Drosophila melanogaster: one gene and its partners. The protein of the gene in region 2 interacts with the protein of the main gene of each other region in a pairwise test. Each region holds a gene or a part of one and is shown on either strand. Other genes may lie near its edges.

Evidence for each region.
Region 1: the proteins of Cdc14 (region 2) and fry interact in a two-hybrid assay, tested with the Drosophila melanogaster proteins (one large-scale study listed by BioGRID).
Region 3: the proteins of Cdc14 (region 2) and Ntan1 interact in a two-hybrid assay, tested with the Drosophila melanogaster proteins (one large-scale study listed by BioGRID).

The regions. Positions count from the first base shown.
Region 1 is NT_037436.4:9,675,563-9,681,334, forward strand, and holds the start of fry (furry), read right to left. Parts: upstream 3,542-5,772; 5' UTR 3,265-3,541; coding exon 3,210-3,264; intron 1-3,209. Other genes in the region: CG16717 (uncharacterized protein), read left to right, coding at 4,346-5,248.
Region 2 is NT_033779.5:7,807,306-7,812,771, forward strand, and holds the start of Cdc14 (cell division cycle 14), read right to left. Parts: upstream 3,399-5,466; 5' UTR 2,857-3,398; intron 1-2,856.
Region 3 is NT_033778.4:18,654,565-18,660,412, forward strand, and holds the start of Ntan1 (N-terminal amidohydrolase 1), read right to left. Parts: upstream 3,659-5,848; 5' UTR 3,512-3,658; intron 1-3,511. Other genes in the region: Gint3 (GDI interacting protein 3), read right to left, coding at 3,973-4,084, 4,144-4,292, 4,356-5,366, 5,422-5,475; CG42306 (uncharacterized protein), read right to left, coding at 5,481-5,560, 5,631-5,848.

The DNA of each region.
Region 1 (5,772 bases), on a different chromosome or scaffold from region 2:
ACCGAAAAAAAACGGACGGGCTATACGGGAAAAAAAAACCAAAAACAAATACAAAAAAAAGAGCGAGCGCGACGTCAATGGCAGCAGAATACAACAACAAGAAACTCAGAAAATAATACTGTACAAAAATCAACAAAATGTGAGCAACTCGCGCACGCTCGCAAATTGGAAGCTCGAAATCAAAACAAACGATTATTGTCTATTTAAAATTATGATTAACAATTGCGAGAGAGAGGGAGAGAGAGAGAGAGAAAGAGAGTTTGGAGCGAACGGAACAGCTGTTTGGCTACTGCGGCGAAATCAAAAATCAGCTGAGTTGTTTTCAAAACAACAACACTCATACGCCGCGTTGTACCAAATGGGAGATGATGAAAACCATTTGTTTGTTTACCTCTTTGCCTTCTCTCTTTGCGGATTCTAGCTGATTAGCACAGCTAGTGGATGGATAAACATACATATATCTATATCTGTCGCATTAGCTTCAATTTACTGGCGGTAACCTGGGCCGCGCCTTCCCGCAGAGAAGTGCTAAGTGGAAAACTTTCCGCCCTCGGCGGCGTGGAAATCCCGCAGAGTGCCAAGGCTGAAGCTGAGCTCCAACTACAACACTTCACAGGACGTCCTTAACCCGAATTCCGTGTGGAAAACCGCGGTAATTCAATTCAATGCAAGTGCGCTCCACTTGCTAGAAGGGATTAGAAATTGGGAATCCAGTTGACTGGGTAAATTCTTTAAAAAGATGTATCAATACAAATTGAAAACACAAAATCGATGGAAACACATTTCAATTGTAGTATTCTTTAAAGTTACATTATGTTTTTCTTACTTTATTAAGCATTGATTTTAAATAACTTAAAGAAGTCTAGTCAACTAATCAAAAGTAGAGTTTTATCTTACGATAATCCAAAAGTTGTATTGATTCCCTAAAATTCTAATGTTTGAATCAAAGTTTTGAACGATTTGCAAACCTGAAAAAGTCATAGTTTCTAAAGATAGACTGTGTATAATTCTCCCTGCTGATTTTCCTTTATGGAAATGACCAAATGCCTTGGCGAATTGCTAAACAAACTTTGTGCAAATTGATTTCTCCAAGTTAGGTAAAAAAAAAGTAAATAAGCAAACATAATAAAGAAAACAATGCCGCGTAAAGCATTTTGTAACGACAAACAGTTAAATTGATTATGAACGCGCCCAGATTGTTTGCCATATGTACGAAAAATTAGCACTTTGGCCCACAAGCACGGGCACTTTCCATTTGTACAATATTGGTTTGCTGAATTAGTTAACTGCTTTTATTGCAATTGGCGAATTACATCACGCCCACCGCATAACTAGGAGTTGCTACTACGAAAATGATCGACTGGCACGCGATTCGAGAAGGCGAACCAAACACGCGACCGGAACGCACTTTACACCCGCTAAAAAAGAATTGGGAACGCACTTGATTTTTGTTGGACCCAAGTGGGCTATATAAACCTATTTCTCTGCACTCGGATTTTGAATCGGACTAGTGTGTTTTCCCTTTGGCTTTTGGTACTGTGTGCCTTGACGGCGGGCAAACAAATGAGAATGAGAATGAAAATGAAAATGGGCTGATGTACGAGCGTTTGGAGCCCGAACTTATGCAATTTCGCACAGGTGATGGTAACGACGACTCGACATTTGACTTTGGATGGCTGGCGGAATTTTCTAATTTTGCCACACTGCGCTACAAAATCCGTTGGATAACTGCCAGGTGGTGCTGATGGTGGTAGCGATGGTAGTGGTGGTGCTGCTGCTGAAAGAGCAGCAAAACCAAATGGAAATAAAATCCCAACACACCCATTGTGACGCCAGACGTTTGTTTTGCTTTTCTTCCTCTTTCGGCGCTGAATGTCATTATCAAGGTTTATTTGGCACTCTGTTTTTCCCGCCTTTTTTTTTTTTTTTTGGTTGCGATTGTGAATGAAAAGCGTAGAAGTGAGTGGGCGGGTTTGTTTTTGGGGGAAATATTGAGATAGGGCCAAATCGGATCGCGTACCGGCTTAAATCGGCGGTAAATCAATCTCGGAATTGCTGTGTGCCAAATAAAAAGTAGAAGGAAAAAGGGAAAACGTTGAGACCATAAATTAAAGAAGACAAAGGATGAGATGTAAACTGCATTATGTCAACGGTGGGCAAAGACTTATTTGTTTCAGACAAATACTAGATTATTTATTGCACAGCTTGTGTTCATTACCTTTGGCATGCAAAAAAGCATAAGATAGTCATGCAATCATTTTTGCATATATCTTTAGTCATTAAATTTTAAACTTAGTTTTGTCGCAACTCTTTATATATGTATGCTTATATGTGTTCTCAAGTGCTTCTAATAAAACTAATGGTTCCCTAGCGACAAAGCCGCAAAGCAAGCATTTAAGTTTTTCGATTGAAGCCAGAAGCAAACATATGTATGTATGTATGTACGTATATTTGTAGCTTTATATTCCTTTGTTGCAAAATTTGCGATACCCAAGTGTAAACAAAGAACCCAAAATTAGAATGAAAATCCCACTTTGATCTAAATCAAGAGCAGAGGTAAATATTTTCATAGACGCCCAAACTTACCGGCGACTCTCTGTGAAGATATTGTACATACATATAAGCACTTAGAAGCCCTTAAGATAGAAGTTTTTCAAAGTAAACAAACCGTTTCCTGTGCACTAAGAACTTGCACCACTGTGGTACAGTGAATCAAAACCATAAATTGTTCAATTTGATTAGGTGTGCAAGTGCGAGCAGGAGAAAGAGAGTAGGCGAGAGAGAGAGAGAGAGAGAGAGAGATGACGAGTGCGTGTGGATGGCCGGCAATCAAAGTGAATCATCACTTAACAAATGAGGAAGACAAAGCAAACAAACAAATGGATAACGGATAAACAGATGCAGAAGAGGTGAAGTGTGTGAAGGTCCAAGTGGGAGGGGCGGGAGAGAACAAAGGAGGCGAGGCAGTGAGTGAAATGCAGTGAGATAACACACACACACACACAACAGCGCACACAGTCAAACAATTAGTGGGCGTGTGCAATTAGCAACAAAAGCATAAAACTAAGAACAAGTGCAGTTAATCGCAAGAGTTGCGCGATGCAAAAGGGAAAATCGAGAAAATCACGCAGAAGGCTCTTTAAATCCCATAAATAGCCACTTATGCAGCTGAAAACTAAGAAGAGACGACAAATTGCGAAATAACTCACCTGCAACACCTGCTTCCAAACCAAACAAATCGTCCTGCAGCTCTAATTGATCCATTGCAATCGAATACAATCCGTAATTAAAAATTGATGGCTAAAAACAATACGCGTCTGCAAAAGTTGCAGCTGCGGCCATTTTTTGCTTGCCCAGCCTGGAATTCCAGCTTTTAATCACGTTTCACTTTTTAAACACTCAAAGAACACTTCTATCATTCTTTGACACAAATGCACACGAAAAAAACACTATTTCCAATTTGATTTAGCCAATTTTAGGAACGTTTTTTACTGCAAATGTTGGACGAAAATTTACGCGTAGCGAAGAAGCAGAAAATTATAAAGCAGCTGATTTTTGTTTTGACCAGGGCTACGTTAGAAACTTGCCAATCGATAGGCGATTGTACGTTACGTTTTTCATTACGTTGCACTATCGGCGCTCAGCTGTTTTGCCCCGGCAATGACGTCACGCGTGAACACTCAATTTCTTGTATTTTGATTGGTATTATCAAATTAGTATATCGCATTTATCTGCAAATACTTGACTAAACATAAATAAACGCGCACTAATCAGGGCGCGACCATGTCGCCGGCGATTGCAACGTGTGCTTAAAGGCCTAACACAATGGCCTAAAACAATCAGAAGTCGGCGAGGCGCAAAGAAGCAAAAAAGGAAGAATCGCTTGGAAAGTTTATAACTAAAAGTAAGTAAAAGGAATTAACAGTATTAATTTGACAAATGAAGCTGTTACCTGTATTAGTTGTGACTTTTAACTCTACTCTTTAGATATAGTTACAAATGCTTCCTAAATTGGAACGTACGCCAATTATATTGGCTTAACTACAACACTCATTAAATCTTTTTCAAGTGCCTGTCCTTTTAACACAAATGTAATTGCATTGAATATTTTAATATATGAAATTTACGAATCACACGAAAAACCCATAATTCCCAGTACTTTAAAATTAAAGAACTGTCTTAGTAAGATAACATTCATGGCCACGTCTTATGTATAGCTCTTACTATCTTAAACAAAAGATTTAGTATCTGTGTTTAAATACCTCGCTGAATTATACGTAAACAAACCAGTTCTCCATAAGAAAATTCATAGTAATCCTCACACGCCACCATTGCAGATATCAAAATGGAAGTGCCAGTACATCCACTTAGCCAGGATCCCACGGCCGCTTGGAGGGAGATTAGCAAAACGCAGCGCGTGATCAAGGTGACAATGAAGCCACCGACCACCACGGTGGCGCCCAACAAGGCACGAGTGGTTTGCATGTCCGACACGCACTCCCTGACGCCCTACATCAAGTTCGATATACCAGATGGCGATATATTCATACATGCCGGCGATTTTACCAAGTGCGGCCAACTGGAGGAGGTGGAGGAGTTTAACACCTGGATTGGAGCACTGCCCCATCGCCACAAGATCGTGATTGCTGGCAATCATGAGCTCAGCTTCGATAGAACCTTCACCCATCCTTTCCAGAAGAGCAAAAGTCATGCTTCGAGCAGCAAACACACCGGCATGTCCATCCTCGATGATCTGCCCACTTTGGGCAACGCCAAGGAGAACTTGGAGAGCGCTGTGCAAACGCAGAATGTCCGCGATGTTCTGACCAACTGTCGGTATTTGGAGGATGAACTACTTGAGATTTGGGGTATTCAAATATATGGCTCGCCATGGCAACCGGAATTCTGTCGCTGGGCCTTTAATGTTCCACGTGGAACTGCCTGTTTGGATAAGTGGAATCAAATCCCGGAAGGCATCGATATCCTGGTCACCCACACGCCGCCCGTGGGTCACGGCGATCTCTGCTGTTCCGGCGTACGAGCCGGTTGTGTGGAGCTACTCAGCACAGTGCAGCAACGAGTGCGCCCGAAATACCATGTCTTCGGACATGTACACGAAGGCTACGGCATCACCAGCGATGGCAGGATCATCTTTGTGAATGCCTCAACGTGTGACATCAACTACCTACCCAACAATGCCCCCATCGTTTTCGATGTGACGCTGCCCCCCGGATTTCGCAAGGATTAGCATGCCTAGATGATTATTTATTGTGTCACAGGTTCAATGAATTTATTTTCGTCCCACTTTATGTTTATGTTAAGGTATTTCGTCTGTAAAGATTTTGAAGCACAATTGTAGGTGTCTAGAGAGATAGAATTCAATTCGCACGAAATTAAAAAAAGAAATTCACACTTAAGATGCCATAAAATATTTATTCAAGTAGAGTGCATTTGTCAATATATGAATTTGTAAAAATAAACAAGTTTTGAAGACACCTAAACTTTTGAAGATTTTCAATATGATATTATATAGTTTTTAATAATAATTTAAGTAAAGGTAAAGCAAATCCTGAGATACATACATACTATTTCAAATTAGTATCGATAAGCCGCCAGAAATGGGTTGGAAAAACCTTGGAATGATTATTGGTTAGCAGCCCTGTCTCCCAATTTGACATTCCTCTTTGGCGCTCTGTAACGGCGCTTTTCCAGTGACTCCCCAATCAGCGAACCAACTAACCTGAGGCTGCACTTTTCGCGTGGCGACCAAAA
Region 2 (5,466 bases):
GATAAACATCTAAAAGGTCTGGGAATCCAGGGCATTTCAAAGTCCAAGCCCCTATGCAATATCGTTTCATTCTAATGATTATTTCTTTCTATTAGTTGGCAACAAATGCGCCCACGCCGACTTGCACACAAAAGCTGACTTGCCATAATTGGATGGCAGTAAATGATGTTTTCCGCAAAGGGTGTTCTACATACATACATTCATACATACATACTTCCATCCATCCGTACATACATATGTATAGCGTCTTTTCTACGTAAACGTATCTATTGAGTGGAAGCATGTGTTCCGTTTGTCACTTTTACCAACTTTATGAGTGTCTGCCACCCAAGTTCTTTCTAACTTTTCCCCCCCAAAGCGCAATTCCCAGCCCTATTTGCTCCACTTTGCCTGCCGTAGCCAAATGTAGGTGATGGCTTCCATATCAATATGCATATAGCCATCAGTCAGGCACTCATTCTATCAAGTCATCAGTTGGGCCGCCATCCGCAGTCCAATAAACAATGGAGAAGGAACAGGCTGAGCCGAGCAGGAAACTCGAATGGGGAACACCCTAACAGTGAGTTGTGCATAAATCCAAGAAAGTCACGTCCCTTTGGAAATTTATGGCTAACAAGAGGGTCTACATGACATAATTTGCATCGAGAATACTGCGCTGAATGTAACTTTTGAAATGCTCTATCTGGATAAGGTTCTTAGTTGGTCTAGTTGAATGTGTTACCACACTATCCGATCCTTATTTGCCCGAAAATAGATTTTAGTGGTCGGGGAACCCATGACAGAATTTGCGATGTATGACCACCCATCATCAAAAGTGTTACGCACACGAGTTTTCACTTACAAGCATATATGCTTGGGGAACACATGTAAATATTCGATTTTATGCAAATTCGTAACCTTTTCCATGTACATACAACAAAGCCACAGTTGGCGTGCCTTTGCAGAATTTCGGACTCGAACTGGGACTACAATGAGTTCCTTTTAATCCTCCCCCCATTTCCCCTGGCAGTGCTTTATGCATTTCCTCTGGCCGATTTTAAAGTTTAAAAGTCAAGAAGCCGGGCGCTTTTTATGGCACATTTGCATGTCGGCTAAGGAGTTTTAGCCAGATCCAAACTTAGATTTCTATCGGTGTGCCAAAGGTAAATGTGAATAGTGCAAGGTGTAAGGGTATATCGCATGACATTGGGCGAGCCTTGTGAAACGGAAACGAAAATAGCTGAAGATATAAGGATATATAGGGCAAGTCAGGCCATCAAGGAAGGTGAAGGAGACCCAAGCGTACTGGTATACTTTATTCTCGGTTTTCTAGATGTAATTTTGTTTGTCTAAATTGCTATCGTAAAATGTGTATCGCGCGGACTATAAGAAAACCACATTAGGCAAACTGAAGAGATGGCTGTGTTGAATAAAAATTGATTAAAAATGTCTGACTATCAAACAAACTATTGAAATATTTATGCGGAGATCCTAATTTGATTATGGTTCTTAAGCGGGCTATTACAGAAATTTAATCCGACTTTGAAAGCGCAGTGCAATTACATAGTAATTTTAACCCTGCTTCCATTGAAATATCCCTGATGTTATATAAAACCGCTAAGCTTTTGTTACTTGTTCACTTGTTATGAGTATACTAGTTGGTAATCTCGATAATATTACTATGTTACGTTTCTGATTTGATCTGTCTCGATTGGTCGTGTTACTGGTTTCCGCCTATTATAGTTGCGACCTCTGGCGGCGATCGTGGATAATATTCTAACGGTGAAGAGTGAATCTTTCAGTCTCCACCGATCTCTTCTCCAACTCACACACACTACTCCACTTCTATTCTGAATGGAAGATCATTGCTAAATATAGCGGGAATATGCAATTAGCTACATTCATCCCCCTCCCACCACATTGGTGACTCTTTGGAGTTGACTGAAACTACAACTTCCACGTGAAGACAACAATTTCATATCACACTCATATCTATAACCATATGTATGTATAAGCATACATATGTGCATGTAAGCATATGCACATAATCGGGCTTATCTGCTTCCGAGCTGTACATAAGGTCGTCAAAAAAAAATGCGATAGAACGCAACCTTCCCTTTTTTCCAGTTGGAATTTGAGACCTAGCGATCTGGGCTAGGTTGGTCATTAGAAACAATGGACAAACAAACGAGTTTTTATTTTTTTCGAATGACGTCACCAAGAATGACAACAAAAGGCGGTTTAAAAATAAAAGCAACGTCAATAGTATGTTTCTTTTTAGCCAAGTTAGTTAGTTGGAATTGGAAACGCGGTGTTAAGAGATTTTGCCGCGCTCGCATACCACAACAAAAACAGAGCGCACACAAATACACATGGTGATTACAACGCCAACAGCATTCACCTGTACCCGCTCACTTTCCCCCACCCCTTGCTAAACAACCCACTTTTCTCAAGCGCATGCGCTGACTCTCTCAAAAGCTGCTCCATCTCACTCACTCCCTCGCTCGTTTGCTCTTGTGCTTTGGCGGCTTTTTGTATGTGTCCCGCTATGGCACTCCTCTCTGGTATTTTTGTGGATGTGCCTGTGTGGAGCATAAATAAAAGCAACCGACGCATTTTGCTACTAGAAACCCATAGAAATCGAAAAATAATACTGGGATGTACTGTGTACTGCGTAATCAAGTTTTTTGGTAAAAATTTCTGGACTATTTTCGGTGGCACTACACTGCACTACAAAAACAAAATATGGGGGGACTGGAAGAGAGAGGGAGAGAGAGTGGGAGCCGTTACAATTACACAGTTTTTGTTGGTACGTGGCTGAAGAAAGTATTCAATGGGTTGGAGAGGGGGATACCAAAAACTAAGACGAAAACTCACCTAAATTGTGGGTTCACACTGCTGTGTTGTTGTTACTTCTGCTGCTATGGATATTCACGAATGAATATTCCTGAAGAAGGGAAGACGTCGAATTTGGGAAGGCAGAGGAGAGTCAGCAACAGCAGCACCAGCTAATAACACCCACACCACGCTCCGCATAACACTGTACAATTTTGACAAACTTTACTCCCGAATGGGATTTTATATTTTAAAAGTATTTTTTTTTTTGGAAAAATTTTGTCACCGAATATTACACATCGAATTTGTTGTCTCTGTCTGCTTGGGTTAACAACATTCTCAAAGCGAGCTTTTTGCACTTGTCTTGGATTTAAATATTGTAACGAAAAACGTATAAACACAATCAGGCAGCGAAGAAAAGCTCTCTTCTGAGATAGTTAAAAAAATAACATTATAATTGCACTAATTTTTCACACCAAACTATGATCGCATTTTCCCCGGCGATTTATGTATTTTTGGATATTTCGAGTGCGAATGGGGAGCCCAGCGACCCGAGCAGTTGGAGATTCCGGAAAGTTGTGAGTTAATTGTTCATCTCGGTTCATTTTGCTAGACCAGGGCTTGAGAAACACACGAAAGTATCGATTAAATGCTCGATATTTTTTTTTGAAATGCGTTCCGTTACTTTTACATTCACCTGGAGTGGAAAATGTATACATTTTTTGGACCAGAAACAAACTGGTAATTTTTATGACAAGCGAATTTTAAGCATTAAAAAGGAATTTAATCGCATTACTATTTTTATTTCAAACAGCTATGATAGTAAGTGTAATAGTAATTTAAATTAATATAATTTGTTTTAGCTTGATATCTTAAGAACAATCAGAGTGCAATTCCAAAATGTAAATAAAATTTTTGCTTTATTTGAAAAAATATTATAATTCTTATTTTTTAACGGTACAAAAATACACAGCTTAGCGGTGACACGAACCGCGATGTATTTGAATATAAAAGTAAATTGGATTCATAGTCTTTTTTCTCTAAAATTTCTTAAAATCTTTTATCTGAGACAAATAAATCATTTCGGAAGTCCAATTGGTTTCGTTATTACTAGCTTCTATTTCTGTATTGCATTTTCGTAAGAAAAGGAAATTTCGAAACAAATTTAAAGAAAGAGCTCTATTAAATTGTAATATGTTTTTGAAATGTGTTCTCTTTACATTCGATTTAAAAAGTCTTCGTCTTTCGACGACTATCGATCCTCTGTTATCGAAGCATCGCAAAGTATCGAGTACGGATTCCCCACTGAAGTTTGAAATCATTCTCGCGAGTGGATCTCTCGAGAGCGGACGTTTTTCGAGTCGGAGCCGGGTCGAGTCGAGGGCCCCAACTTGGAATTTTCTTTCCGATTGACTTGGAAAATAGCTTCTTCGTCGCGTGCGAGTGTGTGTGTGTGTATGTGTGTGCGCGCGGTGTGGAGTTTATAAAAAGAAGTCGAAAAGTGTTTGCCGCATCAACGAAAATAAAAACACCCAAGAAGAGTGTTTGTTGTTTTGTCTGTATAACAGAAAACTGATTTTCTCAACTTCACCTCTGCACATCGATCAAGGACTAGATATAGATGCATCATATGTAGCCGAATTAAAGTATCTGGTAAAGTAGCTGTTGATGAATCTTAAGAAACCGATTTACAGTTAGTTTTTGGATCCACGCGTAGTTTTTACGCAGGTTTCAACAGCTGCAGTCCCCCCGTCTCGCTCACTCCTTCTCCCTGCCTATTCTGTTTCTGTCTTGAGGTTTATCTTGTGGCCTGTTTTTGTTGTTACTTCACTTGCGTACTTCTATTTCCACTCCTTCGCATCCGCTGCCGTTGTTGTTTTTGTTGTGGCACACTGCCTCTTTTTATCGCCTCTCTGTTACGAACAGAAAACTCAAGATAACTCCAAAAAACTCGAAGGGGGCAAGGGCTTCAAATGCCTTTTAAGATCCCCAAATCATTTAAGGGATTTCGGGATAATTCTAAAAAATGAATATATTATTATCTATTAAAAATTAATATTTTATATTAAGGTAACCTCTTTTTTAGTTTTGAAAAAATAAATAATTTTTACAGTTCTTTTTAGAGATTTTCCGGTTAGATTTTTTTCAAATGTTAAAAGTTTTTTGGTCGTACTATTTTAAAATGTAGAGGGGTTACTATTGTTAGATAGTTTTAATACTTAAGTTATATTTCATTTTCGTTATCTTTCTATAATTCATTTGTTATAGAAAGCGTGCAAGTGAGCATCGATGTCGATCTCTAGATTTTAGCAATATATTTCTGTTTCTTCTAGATATTCTTATTTCAGTATCTCATAAATATCTCATGTACTGTGGGACTTTTGTTAAGTTCCTGATAAGCTTGTTTAAAATATTTTCCATCTTGTGTCTCCATTTTCTAATCTTTTCAAAAGTTACTCTACTATGTCACAGAGCAGTGCTAAGAAGCATTTGAATGCACATCTACTTTGGCTAGGGAATTTTTGTAGATTAAGCATACAAACCCGAACATATAGAAACATGATGCCATAACGGCAAGCCAAGTGAATGACTGCATGTGGACTAAAAAAGTGCATTGCCAAGCTGATTTTCTTTATTTCAGCGACCATGGAG
Region 3 (5,848 bases), on a different chromosome or scaffold from region 2:
AACGAGCTGCTGGTCGCAATAGCCAATAAAATGTACATTCGACTTTTGCAATATCTGATCGTTTTAATTATGCTGTTTAATCGCAGCGAATTCGCTTGTACAACATTGTTGCAACTAGTTTTGCATATTATGAAACTGTAAACTTTTATATCGTTAAGAAGTATCTGAAAGATAGAAGGATTTCTTTCGAAGCCTATAGAGTATATGGATAATATTAATAATAATACTAATACTAATAGTTTGATGGGAAAATTAAGTCTTTTATAAGTCATTAAATTTGAAAGAAAGACGCCAAAACTATCCACAGTTAAATTGAAGTTAGTATATTTGTATAAGTATGTTATGATAGTTTATAATGGTAAGTTATGATAGGTAACTCTTTGAATGAATATTGGTTTAAGCGAAGTTAGGATTGGTACTTTGTAGGTCCAAGCCCCATATTAATATTTCAATAGCTTAAAGTTTCTACCACTACACCAGGGATTGTGTTACATTTTAGCTGACAAACCGAAGGGAGGCCGAGTCAATTAATCTTATCAAGTGAACTCTGTAAGATTTCCCTAGCAATTGCCTAGGTTGAGGTCCAACCAAATGCAACCCGATGAAGCACCCAGTCACTGAGGTCCAGAAAAACCGCACCCACCATCTCAGCCGCACTGTTGATTGCACTAATTGGCGATGAGCGTGACCATCGGACGATGGACATCGAGATCGACTGCTGGACAGCGATGATGATGGCGATGTGGATGGAGATGGGGATGGGGATGAGGAGCTGGCTGAGACAATGAGACAAGATTTTCATTCATAAAACACTCGCTGAGTGGACCGGAAGTTCTTATTTGATTGCGAATTGTGATAGGTTGCATGGTAGGGTAAATTGGAGCATATAATGTGAACTAGTTAATAGTTAAAGATAAAGATGGTATTTTAATGATTATTAAAGTTATATTTTAACTTGTTTTTATTGGTTATATTATAATTATATAATTATAATTATTATTATATAATAATAAGTAGTTAACTTATTATTATAAGCATGAATACAAATATTTATATTCTATTTGTATCGAATGCAAAAGAGTATACTTGCTTCCGGCTTCCAGAAATATCATTTCTTACTATGCCAGTTGTGTCGCCCAAGTTCAGTGGTGTTAATTAAAGCACAAGCCTTAATTATGGTTATTTATTTGTTTTTCCCGTCATAGGGGAAGTATTTCCGCCAGGAGCGAACTAACGCCGCTGTCTTCCTGCTCACTTTTTTGGGATCGCATTTCCTTTGGCCCCTCGAGTTCAGGGTTCAAATGCAGGCAGAAATATGCAAATTCAGGGCGCTTGCGTGGAGCGATAAAAACAAATCGAAAAGCGAACCCACTGCTTGCTAACCGATTTCCACTTCAATTTCGAGCCGGGTCATAAACATGCCCGGCGTATTGGAGAAGTTCTTGGCCACTAGGCAGCGGGAATGGGCATGGGAATGGGTCACGAGCTTGGCGGAGCAAGCTAAATGCTTGTTAAAGGGCGGGTTCGCAATTGTTGCCGTTTTGCGGGCAATGCGGTTGGTTCGTGGCCAAACCACAAAAACAAATCAACCGGAGAGTGGAGCGATGCGAAGGCAGCACGGCAATTGGCAAATTCGATTTGCAATTTTTGCACCGGCGCCGGAGGATTCGCGAAAGAAGTGCCAAAACGGCTGAGCTGCTGGGTTGAGCAAACAATTTAGAATGAAGTGCAATCGGGAGTCAGGAGAGTTGATTTGCAATTTCATGGCAGCGGCAATTTGCACCTCATCATCATCATTATGTACAGCCAGATATTTTGCGCCGGGTGATGATCTTTCAATCGTTCAATCAGGCGGCGCAGCGAGGCGAGGCACGTGCAGGTTGCAACCCGGCAATGGGTAACAGCTAACCCCTAACTCGTAATCCCTATCCACATCCCCATCTCCAGCTCCCCCCCAAAAAATAAAAAAAGAGAAGACAACGATCCTCAGGATGTCCCACATATTTCTCGCTATCTCCCGACAGAAACAAACTATTCGTATCATTTTGGAATTTCTGGCCTGGCTGGGCTGCAGTGGCTGCAGCTGGGCCCAAGAAACCAGGAAGTCTGCCTGCAACAAGTTGCCGCTGCAGCAATGAGAAAAATTTCGCTAGATAAATAATGCATATCTCACGCACTAGCCTCGCGGACCAAAGTTGAAATAAGGCTCTATTGTACACAGGGAGAAAAAGCCGTGTATGCAAGATGTGCTAAAGTTTCAAAAGGGTTTATTTAAATACACATCTTAAAGATAAGGCATTAAAAAAGGTCACTTAATTGGACTGAGTATCATTTAAGAACTGTAGCCTACCAACTTTGGTGACATTTCTCCCGGTGCAACTGCAGCCGCTGCCTTTGGCCGTTTAATGAAGGCCTAGATCCGCTGCCCGGCCATAATAAGCAATGGCCAACAATGAAATCTTTGGCTCCAGCCCAGGCCAATTTATGCGATGGCTTGCAGTCTCTGGCTTTCTGCCTGCTTTTTATTTGGCTTCTCGTGGCTGCGTGTTTCGATTTGGCGCGATTGCTTGGCTTAATTTAAGCCCTGAGCCGTAGAGATTCATTAATGTTTGATTTTGGCTGCTTTTCTATTTACCTTTTCCCAAGATCAAGCGAGATTTACGCCAAATTGCCAGTGCCCGGAGCCTGGGCGAAGCACTCCTTAATCTACCCACTCCTCTCCTCACTCCTCCACAGACTTTTAGTTTGGCCGTTTTCGATGCCGCCGTGATAGACAGTAAAGGCCAACTGCGAAATTGGTTCATTAAATGCAACTGTTTGTTTAGTGGCAGCGAAGAAGCCAGCTTGGGATTAGGATCAATGCTCCAGTTTTGGGCTCCCACGATATACGATATACGATATATGTACTTTCTCATTTCGTGTAAATGTTTTGGAAACAAAGGGGATTCATATATATCTATTATATAGCATAATCTTATCTTTCTAAGGTATCTTTGTTGGGTATATTGATAAGCTACATTTGTTGTAAGTTAATGAGTCTGATAATATGTGTTTAAACTATTAATTCAAATTGATCATATAAGTTCATATCGTATTGTTAAAAAGAGGGTTGATTATTGAGCTAAGTTCCAAGCAGTTTCTAAAATGTGACAGCCGTACGATCAAGCTGCCTGCTTAATTAGTAGTCCGCATCAACAAATTGCACCCACATGCTATTAATAATTCGATAATGGCCAGGAAAAGTCGCGTGGATTGGGAAATTACAGTGGGCCACAAGTTTTCAGCGGAACCACGCGATGCGCTGACCGCACAAAAGAGTGCGGGAAACTTCCAAAACAGGCGTAACATTTGCTCCGCTTATTAATGGCATTATTTATGACTTTTTGAGCCCCGAAACTAATGTGACTAAGCAACAATTAGGCATTTGTTAATGGAATTATGGTCAAAATGCAATTGGCCGCACTTTGTTATTGTTTGGTACAAACATATGATTCTAGACTTGCGTACTCACTAACATTTACATAGCACCAAATAGTTCAGCGATTCGTGCACTTTTCACAATTCCTCACAGCTCACAGTTTAAGCTCATAGTTAAATAATAATTCGTCAATTTCCACTTGCTAGCGTTGCAATTTTTGTTTATTTTTGCAATAAGTAAGACCGTTTGCAGGTAAGCTTAAAAGCCCACCTGAAATACCGCAGCCAAAAAGATACCAAACAGCTGTTTGACGCACAGTGGCTTGAAAGTATGTATTTAGTTAAGCAAATATATAAAAATAAGTTTTTAATATAAATAAATTTCAAGCGAACAAGTAGCAACAGCCAAATAACCAAATTAATTTAAAGAAATTTTCTTTTGTGTAAAGTGCGTTTATAATTGATTTTGAATAATAGATTTGAAAGTAATAAATAACAACAGCTCTGTTATAATATAAGGGACAAATACCGCTGAATATATGGGTTAAAGCACTTCTACATAGCCTGCACCAGCATTAGAAGGTCTTCCTTTAAGTAGTTTATATCCGTTTGCAAAGGAGCGGGTGTATCATTGGCGCTAAACAGCAGCAGAGTGTTCGGAATGAGTCTGAAATGAAGGAAATCATGTAGTGTTGTACCTAAAGAAAACATTATTGCATCACTCACTTGCAGTCATATAGTGTCTTTTCCAAGTCCTCATCGCCCAGTTTGCCATCGCTGTTGGACACCAAGCTAAAATCCAGGCTTTCGTCCGCCAGGCAAGATTGGACAAACTCGAACACATCGGATATTTTTTCGTACACATTGAAAGTGCCCTGAAAATGATTCGGCTTATTACATAAAATTACTTCAGATGACATCATCGCGGAATGGCTTACTTGTATAAAGAGTCCATTGGGAAATTTAACCCTGACTAAAGCGTATCGATACATGCGCAAATTGCGCTGCTCCTCGCGTTCCCGCATCGCCTTTGTCCGCAGCATCTGTGACTGGGCAATGGCCTCGGATCGCAGCTGTTGCTCTTTCTTGATCTCCTCCGGCGACAGGCGATAAAACTCGTCGGGGAGGGCGACACGACATGCCTGCGATGGAAGTAGGACCTTAATGTTGCGATCCAGCTCCAGGGGAATAATCTCCGAGCTCTTGAGAGCTTCCACTAGTGTGGGCAAGTCGAGATCCTTCTCCGTCTGCTCCTTGGTCCACAAAAGGAAGGGTTCGCCATCGATCTGGACCTCGTTGAAGCCCGCTGCTTGCAGAACATCCAGGGCACCCTCCACGTAGCGCACCTTTTCGCTGAAGATTTTGTTGGACATCCGTATCTTGCAGAACTTCTCCTCCTCGGGATTCTTGATAAGATTCTCCAGATATCGGATTAGCGTGGCAATGCACTCGTCGGCCTTCTCCTTAACATTGCAATTGTGGATGATCAGGCAGGCGGTGAGGCCGCGATCTGCCTCCAGCTGCTGGTAGAGGAACTCTTTGATGCGAACCTTCCACACGCTCTTGGGTAGAATCTCCTCGCTGATTAGGGGGCAGCGGAAGAAGACGCCTTCGCAGGCCAGGTTGCGAGTGTCGCCGCCGGAAGCCGATGTGGATGTGCTGGTCGTTGATGGCGTGCCCATGGCTTCCTCTCTCTGGCGACGCTCTGCCTCCAGCTCTCTTTTAGCCTGTGCCTTCACTGCCGACAGCGAGGTATTGAATTCCCTGGATGTTTTCTTGTCAATGCGCGCCAGTGCCGCACTGGCAGCTGCCCTGGCCTCGTTACTTATTTCATTTCGCTTTGGTGGCACATAGGCCTCATACTTTTGGCGGGAACTACTTGAAGGAGTCTCCTGTTTGGGGGAATTCAGCTTGTGGCCAGTGCCCATGCCGCTGCCAGTTAAATTGAGCTGTAAACGAACTTGGTAAGGGATTTCCAATGGCTTGGCTAAAGAAAGAACCCACCTTAAAGGCAGCCTCCGCCTTCTTCCGCGAAAAGAACTTCTTAATCTTGGACATGGTTTCTAGATGCGCGGCGAGTGTTCCTTGGGCAGCTTCAACTTGGCCACCGACAATTTAAGCTCCTCGATTTCCTTGAGCGTGCCTGAAATGCAAGACGTGGCCTTCGTTTAAGTAAACTTATCGTAACATCCTGATTTTAAGCATATTCCTACTTGGCCTGACAAACTTCTCCGTAATGACTTTGCCGTAAATGGACCACGAATAGCCGGCTAGTACGCAGGTGCCCAGAAGCAGCACGATAAGCACCTTCAGCAGTGTCGCCTGCAGATCGGTGAAGGCAATGGGTCCGTTTTCCCAACGAAAGTCACCGGTCAAAGATTCCAGATTTCCGCGCAGATCGACGGCTGCCGTCAGTGCAACGCCAGCAAAT